3 linked regions of the Oryctolagus cuniculus genome follow. The protein of the gene in region 2 interacts with the protein of the main gene of each other region in a biochemical or structural test. Links are inferred from orthologs where the notes say so. Each region holds a gene or a part of one and is shown on either strand. Other genes may lie near its edges. The genes, in order: DCUN1D5, CUL3 and KLHL20.

What was found.
Region 1: the proteins of CUL3 (region 2) and DCUN1D5 form a complex in vitro, tested with the Homo sapiens proteins (2 studies listed by BioGRID, with this or other methods). The link is inferred for Oryctolagus cuniculus from reciprocal best matches to the Homo sapiens genes CUL3 and DCUN1D5.
Region 3: the proteins of CUL3 (region 2) and KLHL20 form a complex in vitro, tested with the Homo sapiens proteins (2 studies listed by BioGRID and IntAct). The link is inferred for Oryctolagus cuniculus from reciprocal best matches to the Homo sapiens genes CUL3 and KLHL20.

The regions. Positions count from the first base shown.
Region 1 is NC_091432.1:94,775,426-94,780,519, reverse strand, and holds the start of DCUN1D5 (DCN1-like protein 5), read left to right. Parts: upstream 1-1,991; 5' UTR 1,992-2,324; coding exon 2,325-2,410; intron 2,411-3,269; exon of another isoform or gene 3,270-3,355; intron 3,356-4,479; coding exon 4,480-4,571; intron 4,572-5,094. UniProt on the Homo sapiens protein: Contributes to the neddylation of all cullins by transferring NEDD8 from N-terminally acetylated NEDD8-conjugating E2s enzyme to different cullin C-terminal domain-RBX complexes which is necessary for the activation of cullin-RING E3 ubiquitin ligases (CRLs).
Region 2 is NC_091434.1:14,738,040-14,743,033, forward strand, and holds part of CUL3 (cullin-3), read left to right. Parts: intron 1-1,710; coding exon 1,711-1,897; intron 1,898-4,994. UniProt on the Homo sapiens protein: Core component of multiple cullin-RING-based BCR (BTB-CUL3-RBX1) E3 ubiquitin-protein ligase complexes which mediate the ubiquitination and subsequent proteasomal degradation of target proteins.
Region 3 is NC_091438.1:2,170,557-2,175,550, reverse strand, and holds part of KLHL20 (kelch-like protein 20), read right to left. Parts: intron 2,428-4,994; coding exon 1,854-2,427; intron 1,846-1,853; exon of another isoform or gene 1-1,845. UniProt on the Homo sapiens protein: Substrate-specific adapter of a BCR (BTB-CUL3-RBX1) E3 ubiquitin-protein ligase complex involved in interferon response and anterograde Golgi to endosome transport.

The sequences.
Region 1 (5,094 bases), on a different chromosome or scaffold from region 2:
GCACTGATTTTCACCCTGGCTGCTCCACTTCTAATCCAGCTCCCTGCGAATGTGTCTGGGAAAGCAGCAGAGGACAGCTCAAGTGCGTTGGCACCTGCACCCACATGAGAGACCTGGAAGAAGTTCCTGGCTCCTGGTTTCGGCTTAGCCCAGCCCTGACCATTGTGGCCACTTAGGGAGTGAACTAGCAGGTGGAAGACCTCTCTCTCTCTCTCTCTGTTCCCTCTCTCTCTGTGTAACTCTGTGTTTTGAATAAATAAAACAATTTTTTTTCATGGTTTTGTTCTAAAGCTCTGAAAAGCCAAGGGATATGTGTATGAACAAGATGCCAAATGTATGATGGAGCCATGTTTCAGTCCTTTAGCTTACTTCCCTATCCATCATAAGTATATGTACACTGTCATAATAGATGGATATCATTTAGTTTTGTACTTTTTTTTACATTCTTTTGTATAATAGTAGGATACATTTATGTGCCTTTCGTAAAGTTATTAGTGTCATCTTTGCACCTGAAACCAGAACACATGAGTTTTTCTTTAAGGTAAATCCTTAATCCCTTCCTTTCCTTCTCATTATTTTTATTTTAAAAATGTTCTGTTGTACATTGAAGAAGCACAGTTATTTCACATGGTTTGTTTCTCTATTATAGGTAGCTTTTGATGAAACATCAAAATCCACATGTTGGTGGCCAGCAGAGAAAATTAAAACCATGTTAAGTATGGGCTGGCATTGTAACACAGTGGGTTACACTAACTCTTGTGGTGATGTCATCCCATGTCAGAGGGCTAGTTTAACTCCTACCTATTTTCCAATCCAGCTAATGGTGGCAGGGCAGTGGAAGATGGCTCAGGTGCTTGGGCTTGGAGTTCTTGCCTCCCAGCTTTAGCCTGGTCTAGACCTGGCTTTTGTGGCCATTTGAGGAGTGAACCAGTAGATGAAAGTTATCTATCTTCCTCTCTCTGTTATTCTGCCTTTCAAATAAATAAATCTTTAAAAAAAAAAAAACCACATAGCTAGTATTTCTATACTGCTCATAGGTACAGAGGCTATCAATATGGCCCTTTTGTGAGATAAATTCAGATAAGTGTACGAGTCAATGACTTTTGACAAGTACATACACCAGCACCCCAACTAATGCACAGTGTATCTATCATCCAGAAAGTTCCTTTGTACATCTTTGCCGTCTTCCCTATTTCTACCCTATCCCAAGCCCCATGTGTTACAGATATGCTGTTCCTTCAGATAAGTTTTACATGGTAAAAAATTTTGTCACATATCAAATTAGTATTACAATGTCCAGTTGTCTCAAAATGCTATATGAATTGTTGGCTTGAATCAATATTCAATAAAAATCATATTAAAAATCATCGCTATATCCTTTAAATCCTTATCCTCTCTTCCTATTAATTTGCTGCAGAATCCGGGTCACACGTCTCGAAGACTTCCTGACAGTTTAGATTTTGCTGTTTGCTGTCCGGTAAATTCCTTGCTACTCAGTCAGCAATCATCTACTATCTCTCTTCCGAGAGGTGAGTTCTGTATAAGTAAAAATTGTGCAGTTAAACTTCACTGCGGGACACAGTGGCTAGCAGAGGTTGAGAAGTGGGGGACGGGGGGGGAAGGAGCTAGAGGCCAATCACAGGTCCCTGAAGAAAATATGCTAGACACTGACAATGCGTTTAAATGCGGGAACACTAACGATAAGATTACCGTTTGGAAGAGCTCAGGAGTGAAACCTGGTCTAGTTCTTCAGAATATTTTTAACGCCAGTTGCAGAATATTCGTTTCATAAAACATTCTCGGTGGTGACTACTAACACCAAGGTGGGGGTGGAAGAGAAAGGCCAGGATACTAAGTTTTGTTTGCAGTAATTCCGGCACAAAGCAGGACTTCTACCTTTTCCTCGGTTAGACAGCAGGAACCCACCGCCCCTGCGGCTAACCTGGGTCAACTAGAGCCACACCCCTTCCGGCAACCCGCGCGCACGCGTCACTTCCGAATATAAGGGATTCGCATCCGGGTCAGGCTGAGCCGCTTGCTCCCTGTGACTGGCGGAGGTGCCGCGCTGTACGCGTTATTTCCTCTCGGCGAGACCGACCCGCAGTGGCCACCGGCGAGGAGCCACCCCTGTCCCAGCGAAGAAAAAAGAGCAGGAGACCTGGGAACGCACGGCCGCCGTGCGGGGCCGAGCCGGGCCAGCCTGACGACTCTGCCCCTCCGCTTGCTGCTGTATTTGGGAACGAAGTGCCAGCGCTGAGGGGCCTCCAGCAGACATTGACCCCCTTCCCCGGCTCCCCTGCCCACCCTGCCAGGGAGGGCGGAAGATGCCGGTGAAGAAGAAGAGAAAATCCTCTGGGGTGGCAGCGGCAATAGCAGAAGACGGAGGCCTCAAAAAGTGTAAAATCTCCAGGTACCACTTCCACCCTTTCCTTCAAGCTTTCCTTCTTCCTCCTTTGCTGGGCAGCTGGAAGAAAGGGAGTCGGGCCCGGCCTCCCGGTCTCGGGCTGGAGAGGGGTGAGGCCCCCTTTTCCAGCCAGGCGGTAGGTGCAGAACACCGGGAGTCCGCGCCGGAACCGACCTCGTGCTCGCTCGTGTGTGTGCCCCGGCGTTCACGGAGAGCCCGGGGCAGTCTCCAGCATTAGGGGGTGCCTGCCCTGGAGGTGGGGGAAACAGATGCATCTGTAAGCTCCGCTCGTTCCCCTGCCCCGCACTCCCTTCATCCCACCCTCAGCTTTTTAATAGACGTGGAAGTAAAGGGTCGCTTTCAGAATTTCTTTGTAGCTTGGAAGAAAAGAGCGTGAGGAATTCTTGGCTTGACAACTGCTTTGGGGACGGTAGGAAGGAACTCTTAGGCTAAAATTGGCCTCCAGATGTAGTATTCGAAGCCCTAACGGAGACCATCTGAGCTGCAGGCCTTTCATATGGTAGGGACCTCATTTTCTGGAAACGTAATGCCTCCGTCTATTCCAAGTCCTCGTGTGCAGGCTTGGAAACACCCAGAATGCTTTTTGTTCTCTAACATTCAGCACAGTGTTAGTTCTTGGTATCAGTATTAGTAATTTGGGAGCTGTTGTACACCATGCTCGGTGAACTGGAGTTACAGCTCTTTGCATGATAGCATATCCTTGGGGCCTCACAGCAACACCGCATGCTGCAAAAAGAAGCATTGCAATTTAGAAATGAGAGGTGGACTGGACGTTGTTGGTTTTTATTTCCTTTGGGAGTCTTTGTATCAATGGTTGACACCTGATGTAACAATGTCAGATGCCACCATTCAAAGAAGACAGTAGCCAGCATTACAAGGAGGAAATAACAGAGCTTCTCTTACAGAGAGATCTGCTGCTTAAAGTGTGAGGTAGGTAACTTAATCCAGTCTTCACCTTCCTTTTCGCCATTGATTGACTTTTTCCTTCATTATTACTGTGTTTTGGCAAAGGAGACCAAGGAGTATTTCTGAGGCCGTTTAATGTGACACAATTTTCTTACACCTCTTGGTCTAGAGAATTTTTATATGAATTTTATATGAAGGCTCCACGAGCTCATATTTTTGTGAAACAAATTAGTTTTTTAGTTACTCTTAATTTGTGACCATCTTGAGTGTATAAAGTGTCAAAATTATTTAAACCAAACATTAGATTAGCTGAGCTGGCAATGTTACTAGAACTCAGGATATACTTTGTCTCTCGATTTTTTTTTATTATGCATACTTCTTTGACATATTACTCAATTTCATTTCTGTATCATTGTGATAGTGTAATTATTTGAATTTCAAGGTACTCTAAAGTGCATGAAATCCTACAGGCCACTTTGGAATTAATCAACTTTTAATGATTTCATCAAAAAGTGTTGAAAATGATTTTGTCTGAGATTAAGTAGCTTTGGCTGAATTATTGAGACTTACATTAACTTTTAGAGTTTTTGTTTTGTTTTGTATTTTTTCTCAGTCTATGGAATTTAGTATACCTGTAGGTCCTATGTCATTTTTATCTTTAAATGTTTATTTTAGCTTAGTAGATGATAAATGAACAATTCTTAATGTATCTTTTTATTTTGAAATATTGGTCAAGTATCTAAATATACTTTGTAAGATTTTGTTTTCAAATGTATACCTGTTATATACAAATATGATTTCCATATGAATCAGTAGCAGAAACAGAATATAGATTTTACACTTTCCCAACTAACAATCCTGCCTCGAGACTTAGGTTGAACTTCTTTGTGTAGTCTTTTGCAATTTTGGGAGATAATTTCAGTTGATATTTTAGAATTTTATAGTGAGCAAAGCAGCATTTGGGGTTGTTATCCATAAATTTTTACATTTAGACTACTGAATTGGAAGTACTTCAGTTTTTTTTCCCTATAATGTCAACGTCTAAAAATATTTTGTTTACTTTGAATTGCGGTAGTTCTTATTGAACTTAGTTTTTCACTAAGAATTGAGACTTAATAAAAATCTTAGGCATTTGTGTGTTTTCTAAGCTATTGCAGATCCCAACCCCCTGCTAGACTAATAAGTGGAGAGGAACATTTTTCAAGCAAGAAGTGCCTGGCTTGGTTTTATGAGTATGCAGGTAATGAAATTAATGTAAGAAGATACCAGTCATATGCTTTAAAAATTTTTTTTGGTTCATTCATTTAACAAATTGTTTATTACAGGCCTGCTATGTCTTAGTGCTGTGCTGGGATCAGAGCAAGGCTGAGGATTGTGGGTAGGCTAGGAATTTGGTGTCGGTTCAGACTGATATTTCTTTAAATATATATTCTGTATTTATTTAGTGGGAGGATGAATGTGTCAACAGAGACAGATTCACTTATTAATTTATATCTGTTGACTAAAGCAGTATTCTGGAAAACAAAGTACATGAAACGTTTTTCTATGTAATATTTTTTAAAGTTTTTTCTGAATTAAACATTTTTTGAAACTTTGGGGAGATACAGTATAACATTTAAATCTCAAATATATTGTATATCATTGCATTGGCAGACCCTTTAAAGATTATTTATCCTCAAGATACAATATTAGAAACCAAATAGCTTGATATTAATACCTTATGATAAATACTATTTTACAAAGATATACTGTAGGAGTTAATA
Region 2 (4,994 bases):
CAGAATTGGAAAACCATAACTTATAAAGAGCACCAATAAATCAATATTAAACCAATGATTGGATAGAAAAACATTCAAGGCATATTAAGTAGTCAAACAGCAGAAGAGGAGTTAAAGATGCCTTGCAAATATAAAAAGATAGGTTTTTCTCTCCTAGTGATCCTGAGAAGTTACAAATTAAAATGACACAGCATTTTTAGCTCAGTAAATAGGCAAAAGAAAAATATGGTGCTAAAGACAGGAGTGAGGGAATGGATATCATACATTGTTGTACGGGTTACATTTTTAAGCATTTAAAAGGCAGTTTGTTGGTATCCATCAAATACAAAATGTTTATGACTTGGAGAAAGCCAATATATTTCTATAGAAGTTTTCTTTAAAAAAATCTGGCAGTTGTGTTCAAAGACAGAAATGGGTATAGCAGGACAAAGTTGAATCCACTCTCAGTCTGTATCTGTATCATGATAGCAATGCTGTGGAATTCCATGTAGCTTTAATATCTATGCTAATGTGGAAAATCTGAAGAAATTAGTAGAAAAATCCCTATGTTATTATCTCATTTATGTACAACACTCATATTAGGTGTAAATAGGAGGGTGTGTTCATATACATAAATGTAAATGTGTGTATTTGTATTCATGTTTATATAGGTGAATAGGAAAAGGTATGGAAAGATATATAGTGAATTGCAGTAGTTACTTCTGAGAATTAGCTGTAATTACCAGAGAAATAGCCCCTAAGAAAGTATTTTTGGTTTTTTGAATGTAGTTAAACAATAACTGTAATATGTAAGTCACTTTTAACATGCATAATATATCCATTCTAATAATAGTGTTATTTTAATTTTCTGGTATTAAAATTGGCAGCACATTTAGGATCATTTGAAGGAAAGGAATGTATATAATCACTGAAATTGGATCTTGAACTTGAAAATAGAAATCTTTCTGATTTCCAGATTTTAAGATTTTTGTTTTCATTTGATTACACACAGGCAGTAAATACAGTCAACTTAGATTGTAACTATTTATGGAAGACTGATGGACTGTACTCCATTTCGCTGGTTTACTCCCCAAATGCCAGGGCCAAAGCTTGGAGCCAGGAACACAGTCCAGGGTCTCTCATGTGGATATTAAAATTCAGCTACATGAGCAGTCACCATTGCCTCTTGGGACCTGCACTGGCAGGAAGCATAAGACTGAAGCTGCTCCAGTGCTAGGAGCTAGGCTCAAGCCTATTCCTGTGATGTGAATTTTAATTGTATAATAGAAGAACTGCGATTAGGCTCACTTTACTCTCTTTCTAGGAAAGATGTTATTAAGTGAACAGGAGTATACCTCATCCTGGAAGGAAAATTATAAAATGTTTCTAAAATCAGTAGTTACATGTTGGTTAACACTTTATTTTTACCTAAACATTAAAGTAGGTTCTTGATAATCTCTACTGGATGACATATTTGGATGAGGCATTATATCTCTTGGAACAAAAAAGAACATGTTTTAATATTTTGTAATTTAAATCACCCTTTTTCAGTTTGTTTAAACAATGAGATTTTAATGATAAGTCATAATATTCAGGGAATTCTTGTTGTAAATTATTTCTTTAATAGAATTACCTTGCTCTAACCACTGCTTGGTCAATTTACTTGCTAATTAACTAATGTGCTCTTAATTTTCCAATAAGTCTAATTATGTCAATCTGATGAAATTTCAGGAAATTCAGCAAGAGACAGATATCCCTGAAAGAGAGCTTGTTAGAGCCCTACAGTCCCTCGCCTGTGGTAAACCAACACAGCGGGTTCTTACCAAAGAGCCCAAGTCAAAGGAAATAGAAAATGGTCACATATTTACAGTTAACGATCAGTTCACATCCAAACTACACAGAGTCAAGATTCAAACAGGTATCTGGAATTATATTTTTCCTCTTAAAAAGATTATATTTTTTTCTCTAGAAAACATTTTCATCTGTTTCTATTAAAAAATAACGCTTTTCTAGTGCCGTGTGATTCTTACGCATAAGAAATAAAGCAATTTTTATTGATAAATGCTTGTATCAGAATGTAATTGAATCCAAGTACAATAAGCATTTTGGAAAGTAATTCATAATATGAACAAGGTACTTCTTTCCTTGTTTTTCAGCAAATGAAATTTTGCAGACATGCTAATACTTAAATTATTTTTAACTTGTTAACTAATAGACACTGGAAGTCTATTTTTAAAGCCCACTTACCATTTTTCAAAATTTACCTATGTAAAATTTGGTCTTTTAAATACAACTGTTTATGTTTTGATAAACATTTAGGATTCAAAATCTTAAATTATATATTATCTTGAATTCTGAGACATAGAAATTACAGTTTTGAACAGCTTGTAGTATAGGCTTCTAAGTTCATAGTGAAAAATTGTATCGATTATATATTTAACATAACGCGAAGTGTGTATTATCTATTTATTTAAGGGGAAGAAAGTACCCTGCTTTTGGGGATATTTAAAAATCATGTAGTTTACTGTCTGGTTTCAAAATTACTATTTAGAGAAGCTTCCAAGTACTATTTCATCCATTACAGCTTATTTATCTGTGTAGTAAAATAGTATTTTAGAGTAAGCTAGGTAAGATCAGTTTTTAAAATACCTATAGTTTTCTGATTTAAAAATAGATATTTAGTGAAAGATTAGTGTTAAAAATATATGATTACCAGAATACATTGATTCAAGAACTTTTTGTACATATTTCATTTGTTTTCCTCCTTGATCTTTTTGATTTTTTTGTATATATGCTTTGTGAACCAGTGTGGAGTGTCTATTAAAGCCTGATCAGCTTGTCTCATAGTTGGGATCTGTATCATTGTAATCTCAGCAGCCCAGATTGGCCCAAGTCTTTGTGACACAGAAATATTAAACAATCTTTAAAGTATCATGGAATATAATTTCTTTTCTCCTCTAGTGCAAGGCCTTTAAGCTTACAGATTTGGGCAGATGCAGGTTTTGGATTGGGAATTTCAGTGCTCATTTGTATCCTAGATTTCACAAAAAATATATGGGTATATATATATCTGAATTACCTGTGTTCACCCTGCTTTGCCCTGGATAAGTATCTTTGTAATCCCTGATTGCATCATGTCCAGTAATGAGCAGTTATTGTGGAAAAATAATTTCTGAATTTTTAGTTTTTGGTGTTAAGTTGTATGCAGCACATGTTTGTGTATAGCATGTTAGGTGTGATTAAAATAGAAATTGGTTTTATATGATGAAGGATTTGACTAGATGAGCTCTTGAAAGTTCTTTTCAATGATAAAATTCTGCAAAGAAGTATATTTTTCATTTGAGGATGGTTTTAGATGATCTTGGCTCTGAGTCATATTTTTTTAAGTGAAAATTTTCTCTTTGGCAGTAAATATTGTGACCATGTTGGTGCGTTGGTTTTCTTAAATTGCCAAAGGCTCAGTAACATCAAAAACACAGACTCTGACCTTTCCCTTTTACGCTGCTTTTGCTGTAGCCAGCAGTAGCAGTTTTGTAAAGAAGTTAACAAAATTATTAACAATACTCAATATTTGAAAAGAATTAGATTCGTTTTAGTCTACAGCAGTTTCCAGTGGTGACAGTACTCTCCATCTCACCACTTGCCTGCTTAAACTCCTCTTGCCTCAGCATACATATAGCTATATTTGTAGGCCCTCAAACAAGCAAACCCCTCTGTTCTCGTTAAGTACAGAATGTTGTGTTGGACTCTGTGAGTGAGGCCCTGTGCTCACATTTTTCAAAGCCATCATATTTTAATGTATTATGACCAGTCTTCTCGTTTATCTTTTTTTATGCATATTTAAGGAGTACACCTATTTAGGTGACCAAAGCCAAAAAATTTCCCCAACATTTTTTTCTTAAGATTTTATTTGAAAGTCAGTTACAGAGAGAGAGGAAGAGACAGAGATTCTGTCCACTTGTTCACTCCCCAAATCGCCTTGACAGCAAGGGCTGGGCCAAGCCTGGACCTCCACCTGGGTCTCACATGTGAATGGTAGGGGTCCAAGCACTTGGCTGTCTTCCCTGCTTTCCCAAGCACATTAAATAAAATACTTATTTTAAAAAATACATATTTTCATACAAAAATTTTTAAAATCAATGCATAGGTTTTTTCATAATACACATTTTCTCTGAACTTTTTGAAGGCCACTTATATGTGTGAATTTCAGTTTTTCCTTGTACCAAGATAAACATCTTTGAATTCTATTTCCCACAAACTTTTTGGAGTACTCTTATGTACCAGCCATTGAAATTTTTCCATATATGCTTTCTCTTCCTCCCCCTGTGTATGTATGTCTTTGTGACAGCATTTGAAATTGATTCACAAACAACACTTTCCCTCTAAACTTCAGCAGATACTTCTTAGAATGAAATATTTCCCTACATCACTGTAATACTGCATTACATATTATCTCTGTACCTTATTTCTGTGTCCTCGGTTGTCTCAAAGATTCCTTTCATACCTTTTAGAATCTAGGATACTATCAAAGTTTCTACATTATTTCATTTTTATGTCTCTTTACTTCCATTTGAACTAGTATCTCTACTTTAACTTTTCACATGACCTCTTTTTTTTTTTTTTTTTTTAAGGAAAAGTATTATTATGCATAGGTTATTTTCATCCATTCTGTTTTGCTAAGACATTAGGTTTTGGTTTTTTTTGTTTTTTGTTTGTTTGTTTTTTTTACAGGCGGAGTTAGACAGTGAGAGAGACAGAAAGGTCTTCCTTTTCCATTGGTTCACCTCCCAATGGCCGCTGCAGCCAGCGCACCCCACTGATCTGAAGCCAGGAGCCAGGTTCTCCCTCCTGGTTTCCCATGCGGGTGCAGGGCCCAAACACTTGGGCCATCCTCCACTGCACTCCTGGGCCACAGCAGAGAGCTGGACAGGAAAAGGAGCAACCGAGACAGAATCTGGTGCCCCGACTGGGACTAGAACGCGGGGTGCTGGTGCCGCAGGTGGAGGATTAGCCCA
Region 3 (4,994 bases), on a different chromosome or scaffold from region 2:
CTTCTTCCTAGCTCCCTCCCCTAAGGTGATCGCATTGGCCTTGATTTCTTAGACTTGTTAATGGTGTTTTAATTATTAAAAAAATTCATGGGAGACCAGGAGAAGCACCTGGTTCCTGGCTTCAGATCGGCACACCAGCCGTAGCGGCCATTTGGAGGGTGAACCAACGGAAGGAAGACCTTTCTCTCTGTCTCTCTCTCTCTCACTAACTCTGCCTGTCAAAAAATAAAGTACATATTTTATGCAATTAAATTTACCAATCATTTCCTTTACAGCTTCTTGGGTTTTCTCTTGCTTAAAAAGAATCAGTCCATGGCTTAATTACTATGTCAACAACACCTAAATTTTAATCTGGGCCTAATATCTTATCTAGGAAATAGACTCATAAGCAACTGCTTGTTCAATATCTACTTAAATACCTCAAAGGTGTCCCAAACTGTACATTTCTGAAACAGAAATCATGATCTTATCTCCTTACACTGTGCCACCCTTTAGTACATATAGAGTACAAATTCCTAGAAGCAGGACTGCTGGATCATAAACTGTGTGAAAAAGTATACAATTTTAACAGATACTGACAAACTTCAAATTCATACTACAATGAACCTATTTCCCTGCTAACATGCCAACAGACTGTATAAAGTTATGAATAGTTAATAGTATTTTGGTGCAGTTTTGTGTTTTAGTTATTTTCAATAAATGTGACCAGATTTTCGGATATTTAAGGCAATATGAATTTCCCTTTCTTTTCTACTCTTTTTTTTTTTTTTTTTTTTTTGACAGGCAGAGTGGACAGTGAGAGAGAGAGAGACAGAGAGAAAGGTCTTCCTTTTCCGTTGGTTCACCCCCCAGTGGCCGCTCCGGCTGGTGTGCTGCGGCTGGCACACCATGCTGATCCAAAGCCAGGAGCCAAGTGCTTCCTCCTGGTCTCCCATGTGGGTGCAGGGCCCAAGGACTTGGGTCATCCTCCACTGTCTTTCTGGGCCACAGCAGAGAGCTGGACTGGAAGAGGAGCAACCAGGACAGAATCTGGCGCCCTGACTAGGACTAGAACCCAGTGTGCCGGGGCCGCAGGTGGAGGATTAGCCTATTGAGCCGCGGCGTTGACCCTCATTTTTCTTTTAAGTTTGGATTATAATTTGTTCTGCTGAATAATTCATGTAACCAGGAAGGAAATGCCTTATGCAAATGACTGATACCAGGTGCTCTATCAGGTACAGATCCTCTTAGGAATTAGTGAAATGTATTTTGGGTTGTAAATAAGCCTTTTATGAATATAGCTGTGGGGCCGGCGCCGTGGCTCAATAGGCTAATCCTCCACCTTGCGGCGCCGGCACACCGGGTTCTAGTCCCAGTCAGGGCGCCGGATTCTGTCCCGGTTGCCCCTCTTCCAGGCCAGCTCTCTGCTATGGCCAGGGAGTGCAGTGGAGGATGGCCCAGGTGCTTGGGCCCTGCACCCCATGGGAGACCAGGAAAAGCACCTGGAGCCTGGCTCCTGCCATCGGATCAGCGCGGTGCACCGGCTGCAGCGGCGGCCATTGGAGGGTGAACCAACGGCAAAAAGGAAGACCTTTCTCTCTCTGTCTCTCTCTCACTGTCCACTCTGCCTGTAAAAAAAAAAAAAAAAAAGAATATAGCTGTGGAGAATCAATCCCTAAGCCATAAGTTTTGCTGGTAAAACATAAAATTGGCTTCCAAAATAAAAATCAGGCTTAGATTTTATAAATATTTCTATGACATTGTGAGTTAGGATCAACAGCAAATATTCGGGCAGGTGTTAACAGACTATGAACTCGTATCCCTCTCTTGACAAATAGGTTACAAATGTGTTCAAACCACCAAATACAACTCACCTCTTGGAAGTTATGTTGAGTGAACTTGTCTGCTATCCTTAGCAGCTCACGACATGAATGTGTATCAGCAAAAGCCCGAATGCCCAGGCAGTTAGAAGGATCTAACTGTCTCTTCAGGAATTCGCAGCAGGCCTCCTGTATTTCTGCCAGCTGGAGGAGGCAGGCAGCTGGCAGAAGGGTCTGCACATTGCCCTCTTCGACAGTGATCTGGGAAGTATACGCAAAGTCAATCAGGAGTTCCATGGCCCTCTCATCGATGTCTCGGATCACGACTTCGGTCTGACGGCTCTCTGCCAGTTCTCCTGTGAACATAGCTCGGAAGTAGGGACTGCAGGCTGACAAGATGACTCGGTGGGCATATATTTTCTTAGCTCCCACAACTAGAACCACATCGCAGAGCTCCCGGTGCTTTCTCAGAAGGTTAATAACTTCCAAGGTCTGTCGAGGGTGCTTGTCTGAGATGTAGGGCATGCGGGCAGGTTGGGGAACCCCTTCTGGCAGTTTGTTGGGGTCTCCAAGAGTGCAGCGGCTTGTTACATCCATTCCAGTCTCTCCTGGTCGAATGTTGGTACACCTACAGGAGGGAAGGAGAGGGAGGGAAGATGGTAATATTAGGAGAACTTCTGCCTTTAAGCTTTGTAAATCAAGAGATAGAAACATGTGCAATTAACAAGAGAGAGAAATAAGCCCCCAAGGAACTCTCTTCCTAAGACCCATTAATTTCTTTAAAATTTCCTGAAGGATGAATGGTAATAATTCCAAGTCAGAGCTCTCATAAAAGAAATGATAATTCCTTTTCATCCTGAAGTAGTTACACTGCGTTGGGTCATTTCCCACACAATGTTAATACAGAGCATTTGTAAATGTTTGTCTCTGCATGAAACAGATATATGAAGCTTAATTTCTAAATCAAGTTTAACCAGAATATCAGTATTTGTTATTTTTTTATAATAGCTGATATTTATTTCTTATTTTCACTGGGCAATACATTGAATTTTTCTAAGGTTCATCATAAAATCTGCTAACTACAGCACATGTTGCATGAAAAGATCAGAAGGGAAAAAGGCCAGGGTTGAAAAAATTATTTTCATGCATTAATATTATATTTATTTGATCTAAGATATATTTTTTCTTTTTTTTTAAAGATTTATTTTGTTTATTTGAAAGGCAGAGTTACAGAGTGAGGTAGAGATAAAGAGAGAGGTCTTCCATCTGCTGATTCACTCCCCACATAGCTGCAATGGCCAGAGCTGCGCCTATCTAAAGCCAGGAACCAGGAGCTTCTTCCAGGTCTCCCACGTGGGTGCAGGGGCCCAAGGACTTGAACCATCTTCCACTGCTTTCCAGGCCATAGCAGAGGGCTGGATCGGAAGAGGAGCAGCTGGGTCTCGAACCAGTGCCCATATGGAATGCCAGCACTTCAGGTCAGGGCCTTAACCCACTGTGCCACAGCACCGGCCCCAAGATATATATTTTTCATAGTTTAGTATTTAGTAAACCTTGGAAATCATCTAAAACTGATGTCCAAGAAACTTAACAGCTACCAAGTACAAGAGGTATGATCAGTTTGCCCTACCCTCACAAGGAAATTTTAGTCACATTTCTTGAAAGAGGTATTAGAATTTTCAGAGCCAAGAGAGGTTAGTGTGACAGTCTTATGTCGCAAAACAACAATTGCTCAAGATCTGAAAGTTTTTGGTTAACTTTCAAAGGAAGAGATTTTACTCTAAATGGTATATAATTGGTATATACTTGATCTAAAGAGTCTTATCAGGACGGGTATTTAGTCTAGTGGTTGAGATGGCTCTTCTCACATCAGCACACCTGGGTTGATTCCCAGCTCTGGCTCTTGACTCCAGCTTTCTGCCAGGGCAGACCCTGGGAGCCAGCATGAAGGCTCAAGTAACTGAGTTCCTGCTACCTGTGTGGGAGGCCTGAACTGAGCTTGTGCCTCCCAGCTTTGGCCAGCTCTGGCTGCTGCAGGAATCCAGAGAGTGAACCAGTAGATGGAAGCTCTCTGTCTCTCAAATACATAAAATAAAATAAAATAAAATAATCACTACCTTAACCAAATGTGATAGGAAATATATATAATATACATATCAAGATTATATGATTACAGTAGTTTTAAAGAAGTAAATTAGGAAATAGAAAATAAAAGGTAAAAACACACACACATGCATACACACTATCACAGCATAGATTATATAACAGGGTGTCACTGTGAGGCTATAAGCAATTGCTGATCCAAACATAATTCAGAGGATTCATCAGTCTCTGAATAAGAGGTAAACTTTGAGGCAAACTTTATGATATCGAAGAAAACTGAGTATTAATTATATGGGTAAAAATATTGTCAGCTAATAAGAAAAGCTTTGTACCCTTAAGGCAGTCTTTACATTCTAAATAATTATTAAATAAATCAAGTGTCATATAAATAAGGAGCACAGTAAATAACTATAGGGTTAATTCTAATAGTTGGTCCTAAGAAAGAAAATAATCAAATCAAATATTTTAGAATTCATTCAGAGAGAAACGAATAGGTATGAAGAGTTCCTTCTCATATATAAACTGGATTGAGTCAAACATCAGGTGTCTTAAAGTGTTTTTTTAAATTTTTTATTTTTTTGACAGGCAGAGTGGACAGTGAGAGAGAGAGAGAGAGACAAAGGTCTTCCTTTTCCATTGGTTCACCCCCCAGTGGCCGCTCTGGCCAGCGCGCTGTGGCCGGTGCACCGTGCCGATCTGAAGCCAGGAGCCAGGTGCTTCTCCTGGTCTCCCATGGGGTGCAGGGCCCAAGCACCTGGGCCATCCTCCACTGCACTCCCTGGCCACAGCAGAGAGCTGGACTGGAAGAGGAGCAACCGGGACAGAATCCGGCGCCCCAACCGGAACTAGAACCAGGGGTGCTGGTGCCGCAGGCAGAGTATTAGCCTAGTGAGCTGCGGCGCCGGCTTTAAAGTGTTTTTATTATATCTTTTTTAAAAAAATTATTTTATTAAAATTTTTTTGATTATATAAAAAGATTTCTTCCTTCATCTCTCCCAACCAAGCATAACAGCTCTGACAGAGGGGTACTATGACTAATCTAATTTTGATTTTTTAGCATCTTTCTAGCTGTAGTTCATCAAAGCAGGCTCT